Danio rerio: one gene and its partner. The protein of the gene in region 1 interacts with the protein of each later gene in a biochemical or structural test. Links are inferred from orthologs where the notes say so. Each region holds a gene or a part of one and is shown in the gene's direction. Other genes may lie near its edges. The genes, in order: ube2f and rnf7.

Region 1 (4,329 bases):
CTCCACACAGAAAATGCCAACTGACCCAGCTAGGAATTGAAGCATCAACCTTCTTGGTGTGAGATGACAGCGCTACCCACTGCGCCACTGCACTGCCAATTTGTATAATACACACATATTTTATCTAAATATAAATAAACATTTAGTCAAATATATTCATGCATGTCTGTATTTATAGACACAATTAAAATACACAGAACACACATTTAAGTCATGTCGAAACAAACTTTTATTTTGGATGAGATTAATAATGATTAATTTTTGCCCAGCATTATATGTACTTTAGGGAACAGATGATCACAGATGCACGGTTTACTTCATTTATTTAAACAAATAAATTGATTATCGAAATATGAAATGAGAATTAGTAAACCCCTTTTCTTTTTAAAATATTTCCCAAATGATGTTTAACAGAGCAGGGAAATTTTTCACAGTATGTCTGATAATATATTTTTTTTCTGGAGAAAGTCTTATTTGTTTTATTTCAGCGAGAATAAAAGCAGTTTTTAGTTTAATTATTAGCCCTTTTAAGCTATATATTTTCCCGATAGTCTACAGAACAAACCATCATTAAACAATAACTTACCTTATTACACAACCTGCCTAGTTAACCTAATTAACCTAGTTAAGCCTTTAAAAGTGACTTTAATCTGTATAGAAGTGTCTTGAAAAATATCTAGTCAAATATTATTTACTGTCATCATGACAAAGATAAAATAAATCAGTTATTAGAGACAAGTTATTAAAACTATTATGTTTAGAAATGCTTAAAAAAATCTTCTCTCCGTTAACATTAAACAGAAATTGGGGAAAAATAAACGGGGTTTAATAATTCTGGGGGTTTAATAATTCTGACTTCAACTGTGTGTTTGTGTGTATATATATATATATATATATATATATATATATATATATATATATATATATATATATATATATATATATATATATATATATATATATATATATATATATATTCCGTATGTATATATATATATGAATTGCCTTTTAAAAATAATTATTTAATATGATTCTAAAATTAGTTTTTTTTTTCAGGTTGTTGGAAGCAATGGGAGCCTCGTCGACTGACACAGAATTAACAGTGATAGTAAAATATTTTTATATATTAGCCTCTAAACCGCGTAAATCCTGACATGATCCTTCAAACCAACAGCTCCATCGAACAGCATCAAAGCATGTTTTGTATCTCTGCTCTGAAGCGTTTGAACAATAAACACTTCACTTAACACCACGCTTGGATTTACTGTGTCATGGGTTTAATATTGCAAAGAACTCCATAAAAGAATTAGCTAAAGTGCTGTAAAGTTAAGTGCCTCAAAATCTCATTTGGGCTTTGTACAAAATAAGGGCGGAATTTTATTTCTGGCGTTTGATTCCATACGGAACTCTTATTAAATGAACGGAACAACTTCCGGCTTCTAAACCGCTCAGGCAGCGGAAATCATTAAACTCGGCGGAACTAATCCTCGCATCGTTCCACTCAATTTTGTTTCTTTTATCGACGTTCAGCATATTTTATCTTGAAGTTGTTTTGGGGGGAAAACGTGCAAAATTCACGTCGGGTGTCCCGATTATGGTGTAAACAGGGCAGTTCAGTCACTCTGACAGCGGCAGGTAAGTGCATTATCGATCGCAGCCGAGTTATTTCACATATTTAGAGTTGTGTTATGAATGTAAATACCTTTTAGACAATATATTTAATTGTGTACGAAAATATTTAGCTGAATCCTGGTATAAATTATGCCCTGAGCGATGAGGATTAGATTGTAGCTGCTAGTAAACATGTTAGCAAAATAACGCCTGGTGACACTAACTGGTGAATATGAAAGTTTGAATGGATTTAAGTCATGCTAAGTTATCTGCACATTGAGTTCTTATTATAGACCATACAACATAGAAGTTGTGTTATAGTTTTAATATTTCATTAAAGGACGTTTTGTAATGGCATTAGAATGAGGGTAACAGATGGTAATAACATGCTACTTTTATTTATACAGCTGTGCTGACAGAACGCTCTATTCATCTACTATGGTATTACCGTGGTATTCCAAGGCATTTAAAATGAGCCATCGCTTTATTTCAGTACATGTTTAGAAAGAAGCTTTATACTTTATTTGTAGTAAGTTACAGTGGTATGGTATTACTGTGAAGCCAATGACATGCCAATACAATTCGCATTAGAGATTTCGTACCTTTGTATTTATTCCAGTATAATAACATACAGTTGAAGAATTATTAGTCCCCCTGTATCTTTTCTTCCCCAATTTCTGTTGAACAGAGAAACTTTTTTTCAACACATTTCTAAACAATAGGAAACAACTCATCTCTATTTAACTTATTTCTTTTGTATTTTCCATGATGACAGTACATACTATTTTACTAGAGAATTTTCAAGACACTAGTATTAAGGGTCTAATAAGTTTAACCTTAAATTGATTTTTTAAATATTAAAAACTGCTTTTATTCTAGCAGAAATACTACAAATAAGACTTACTCCAGAAGAAAAAAAAACATCAGACATACTGTGAACATTTGCTTGCTCTGTTAAACATCATTTGGGAAATATTTAAAAATGAAAAACAAATTCAAAGGGGGCTAATAAGTCAGATTTCAACAGCAACTTTATTAAAACATGTGTTTATAACACCCATATTTGTTGTTATTCAAATATAGCAGTAGTAGTGTTATTATTCTACAAACAAAGTTATAATGGTTTACAAATGATATTAAAGGACAGTCTGTCATGTATAATAACATCATAGGTCTTTTGAGCTTAATCGTATAACAAGAATGCTAAAGCTAAAATATGTTCAATGCAAAGAACTTAGTTACTGTCTTAAACAATAGCTGTCACAACAAATTATTAACATCAATAAATATTTCATATTTCAAAGTTTAAACTAATAATGCAAAATCAGTGTAATGTTTACCAGTCTTGTTTTTGTATCTAGACTCTATATCATAGGGTTACCAATCTCGGTCCTGGAGGGCCCGTGTCCATGCAGGGTTTAGCTCCAACTTGCTTCAAAACACATGCCTGTATGTTTTGAGTATGGATAATAAGACCTTGATTAGCTTGTGCAGGTGTGTTTGATTAGGGTTGGAGCTAAGATCTACAGGACACCGGCCCTCCAGGAACAGGTTTGGTGACCCCTGCTCTATAATATTAAAATATAAAAGTTATGTAGTTTGTAGTTAGCATCACTATAGTTTTGCTATGTTTTTAATGTTTTTATGACACTTTTAATATAGATTTACTTGTTATTCATTTTTTAGGTTTTTATGGTAATATTTTACAGTAAGTATTGCTTACTGTAAACTTTTTCTGTTACCTACATTAGTTAACTACCTTTTAGAAGAATAACTGAAAAAAAGGAGAAAAAATGTGAAAAGGAGTGCTGTTTTCATTTTAGTTGGGTAAGTTCAACTTAACGAACGTTAGAAATGTTTCTAAGATAAAGTTTAAGTTATAATAATTATAATAAAGCGGATATATATGTTTTTTAATACTTTCACTTGTGTTTGGTGTTCACTGATGGTCATTGTGTGTATTTGTGTTCCTCACAGGTGTGTTAGGGTGTGTATGTTGGTCTGCGGGGATGCTGACGTTAGCCAGTAAGCTGAAGAGGGAGGAGGGCGTAAGGGCCGGCCGGACCCCTGCAGGCTCTAACGATGCCGCTCATAGAGTGTCCATCAGAGATCGACTGCTCATCAAAGGTATGAAAAAAACACTGCCTGCTGGGATCATGACACACTGGTTTGCGTCTAGTGGTTCTGACCATTTTTAGGTCTGCCCTGATTTCACAGTCAAAACATGTAAAGATGGACAGGTTATCTGATGAAACTTCTGGAAAATACTTGAATTTCAGACATGGATTCAAGGCCTGGAAAGTAAGTAAAGACAAACATAGGTCCGTTTAAGTGCTTGAATTAAATTTTAAATTAATTTGCTTATGGTTTTTTTTCAACCCAGTTGTTGAATACAGAAAGAAAAAAACTGAGAAATTCTTAAATAAAAATATTGTAAAATAACACAGACAAATAATGCACATTTTATCGATATATCAGAAACTGCCTTTGAATATTACCAGTAGGGTTGGCCCGATAGACGATGCCTTCGTCCATTGCTGATGGCCGATAGACAACATGATGCTGAGGCGGCATCGCGATCCTCCACTCCCCGTTGCAAACCTGCTCAAGAAAAATACACACTCAGCCCCCGTTAACACTCATACGTCTTAGTTTTAAAATGGCATTTTAGAACAAAAATGATTGTTTACCTAGCATTTCTAAACTGCCCTCCGTCCG
Region 2 (3,815 bases), on another chromosome or scaffold:
TTTGTTATTAATTAGTAGTAGTATTATTATCAATAATAGTATTAATTAGTATTAATAAAATGCTTTTTGATCATGAATTATTCCTTGCTCTTAAAAGGATAATTCACCCCAAAATAAAAGTTCTATCTTGTCATCTTTTTCTCACCCTTCACTTGTCACAAAACATGTTACAGCTTCTTTTTTTCTGTTGAACACAAAAGAGGATATTTAGAATAATGTTTGGAAACATGGAACCATTGACGTCTATAATTGTTTTACCTACTATGATAGTCAGTGTTTAAAAAAAAAATAAACAAGAAAAATAAAATTTTGTTAGTTTCTGTCGTTTATAATTTGTAAAAAAAAAATAATAATAATAATAAAAATTGGAAGGTCACGCACAGCTTCAGTCAGAAGTTTGAGGCTCACAGTTCGTGCAGAGTTCAAGGTCTGAAGAGCCTTGTGTGAATCTGTACTGGAGAGAAGCCAATACTTTTGAGTTAGTAGTGTTCAGGTGACCTTGTACATTGCCTAAATATTATTCTGTTGTTTTTTGCATATGATAATTCATACTTAAAGCTGAACTGAAGACTCATTCGTTACAATACAATTAATTGGAAACATTTTGAATTGCATCTTTATATTGTTTTTCCTGTTATATATTTATTTATTTATTTTTAGTCTCAGAAGTCTCTTTAGTCTCTTTTAGTCTTTTTTTTTATGTCTCAGAAGTGTCTTGTTGACATCCCTACTAGTAAATAATACACTTTTTACACTTATCAGATGCTTTTGTCCAAAGTGACTTACTGTATGCATATTAGGGTTAATCCAACTAAAGCAACCTGGGGTTAAGTACTATGTCCGATGACACAATCCATAGTATTCATTTGCGTCATCAAACGCACCCTGCCATCACACTAGTTGGTTGGACAACTGGTACAATCAAAGGACAGCTCTCATGTTTGATATTTAAAGCAGCAACACATTAAATATATAATTAAATGTTTGTTGAAAAGTAAAGAGGCACCTAAATGTCAGCATAGCAGCTGCAAGTTGTCTTTTATTTATCTATCTTTTTTTTTTTTAGGATAAACATTTTGAAAATGTTTTGCTTGAACCAGAAACACGCTTTTATAGTTTTATTGAAGGTTGATTTAAAGATAAAGTTGTATTTATTTTGTTCTTAAAGTAACACTATGCTTAAAAAAAAACATTTTACAACTCTCTTTTATTTAAACAGTTGAGTTTTACAATTTATGAAATCATTCAGCTGATCTCCAGGTCTGGCAGGACGCTTTTAGCTTAGCTTAGCATAAATCATTAAATCGGATTAGACCATTAGCATCTCCCTAAAAAAGGCCAAAGAAGTAATACCTTTCCTATGTAAAGCTTGAATATTCTGTAAATACATTATGTACTAATACTAGGGGCTGCACGTTACATTTTTTTTTGTCTATAAATATTGTGATATGAATACAATTTCATAGAGTGATCTGTGGATGATGGCTGTTTTTTGTTTGTATGTTGTTGTTTCTTTAACGCAACTATTAACTATCTTCTGTGGGTTTTGATTTAAATATGGTAACTGAAATAGTTTATAAAATTTATTTGAGTCTTGGAAAACACCAAATGACCCCTTGTCATTGTCCTGCGAAAATTTCCTTGCTCTGTTAAACATCATTTGGCCAATTTTTTAAAAAGAAAAAAAATTAAAACGGGGGCTAATAAATCTGACATATATATATATATATATATATATATATATATATATATATATATATATATATATTTATATATAATTTTTTTTTTTTTTTTAAGTAAATTTTTGTAAAATGGTTGATTTTGGTCCATTCTGTTACTACTGTCAAAATAATGTCATCAAATATATCTGCCATGTAACAGCCAATGAAGCCGATACTATGAAAATAAACAAGCTACTTCAAATTCAGAAGACACAAAAATACTACTCAGATATTTGCCCTCACATCTTTTCAACTAGGGCTGCACAATATTGGAAAAATCTAAAATTGCGATTGTTTTTTATTTTGCAGTATATATTGCGATATGAATACAATTTCACCAGATGACTTAATATCTATTTGGAAGGAATTTATGTTAGATACATTGGGATGATTCTGCAGTGGAAGTGCATCTTCAGAAAATCCAATAAACAGTCTATAAACGTTTTAACAATCTATAAATACGATCAAGAAAAAGATACAATTGAAATAAAGTGTTCCCCAATCGTTTCCCGAGTCTTACCGTATTCAAGTACAGTAACTGAATGATAAAAATAATAAAATAAAATTATCATAGTTAAGGTCACAAAAAATTGTATACACCTGACTGCTTTGAAAATCATTATACAATCACAGGCATCATGTGAATGAAAACGCAGGCAAATGATAAATTATACAAACATTGCATATCCTGCGATGTGACTATTGTGAATGATCACGTCGCGATAGCAATGCTGAAATAATATATTGTGCAGCCCTAATTACAAGCCGTTATTTCTTTCTTCTATGGTACAGAAATTATTATTATTATTATTATTTTGCCATCAAAGTTCAAAGATTTACAGTTTTTTTGATTGTGTTTTTCTCTCAGTGGTGTGGGGAGAGTGCAACCACTCCTTCCACAACTGCTGCATGTCCCTCTGGGTGAAGCAGAACAATAGATGCCCACTATGCCAACAGGACTGGGTGGTACAGAGGATCGGCAAGTGAAGACTCAAGCTTCGTTACCCACATCTCCTCCGTCCACTTTGGCACTACTCCGCTTAGGGAGACCAGACTGACTTCAGAGCATCTCGAGGTGCTTAGTGTGTAAGAAAACCTCGGCGTGTGCATGTATGCGACCATGGAGGCAAAAATCCAGAACTTTATCCCTCTGTCACCTCATACAGCATTAAGAAGAGATCCGGCAAGATTCACTTAAGGGTGTGAGCGTGACTTCATGTGCGTTGATCTAACTGTGAGTGTGTGTTTTAATTATGTTAGAAATAAATAAATAAATAAAGCTGATGTTTATAGGAGTGTGTTACTAGTGATTTTTAAAAAATCATTTTCTGATTATGCTTGTTGTTTTAAATCAATTATTAGTCATTACAACTGTTCAGATGTCTTTAAAAAGACCTCCCTGGACGGGAGCAATATTCACTAAAAAAAGGAAATTATGTCAACAATTATGCATATTTTATGAATTCAAAGTACAAATTTTATCTGATAAAATATTTTACAGAACAAAACTAGAAAGAAAAATAATGTCAAAAACTTTTCCTTGTGGCTTGTGCAGCACTGAGAGCTGTCTGACAAAGCATTTCGTAAGTCTTTCTCCAGTACCCTGCTTATTTCTCCATCCTCTGCTAATTCCAGTGAAACAATTAGCTCAGGATTTGAGAGCTTGCGATAAGTCCTGAAACCCATGAGAACAATTTCACAATCAAAGGTGTAGTTGCTTTTAAGTCAACAGCAATTAATTACATTTGTATTAAAACTCCCCCTGCAGTGTTTCTCATTATGGGCTTTTGTTCTAGAGAGCGTAATTGAGAGTAAATCTGATGCACAAAGATGTATTTTGGTGGTTGACATGATGTTTAAGACATTGAGACAAGCTTAAATCACTGAGAATTACAGCCCAGCAACATTAGGTACCTTGTAGCTTGTATTCAAAATCATGTATATTCATATTTGTTGGATCTTTTTTGGCTGCCTCATTATCTTATCAATTGAAACATGAATAAACAAAATGTTTGTGTTGTAAAGACAAGCACAAAACGTATTACTCTACAAACAAATTTGACAAAACTGAATTGCTACATGATTTATTTCTAT

What was found.
Region 2: the proteins of ube2f (region 1) and rnf7 form a complex in vitro, tested with the Homo sapiens proteins (10 studies listed by BioGRID, with this or other methods). The link is inferred for Danio rerio from reciprocal best matches to the Homo sapiens genes UBE2F and RNF7.

Annotation. Positions count from the first base shown.
Region 1 is NC_133176.1:8,055,062-8,059,390, forward strand, and holds the start of ube2f (NEDD8-conjugating enzyme UBE2F), read left to right. Parts: upstream 1-1,402; 5' UTR 1,403-1,635; intron 1,636-3,297; 5' UTR 3,298-3,438; intron 3,439-3,588; 5' UTR 3,589-3,620; coding exon 3,621-3,738; intron 3,739-4,329. Other genes in the region: si:ch211-93g23.2 (uncharacterized protein), read left to right, coding at 1,057-1,153. UniProt on the Homo sapiens protein: Accepts the ubiquitin-like protein NEDD8 from the UBA3-NAE1 E1 complex and catalyzes its covalent attachment to other proteins. Together with the E3 ubiquitin ligase RNF7/RBX2, specifically neddylates cullin-5 (CUL5).
Region 2 is NC_133193.1:44,696,283-44,700,097, reverse strand, and holds the end of rnf7 (RING-box protein 2), read left to right. Parts: intron 1-2,589; coding exon 2,590-2,708; 3' UTR 2,709-3,007; downstream 3,008-3,815. UniProt on the Homo sapiens protein: Catalytic component of multiple cullin-5-RING E3 ubiquitin-protein ligase complexes (ECS complexes), which mediate the ubiquitination and subsequent proteasomal degradation of target proteins.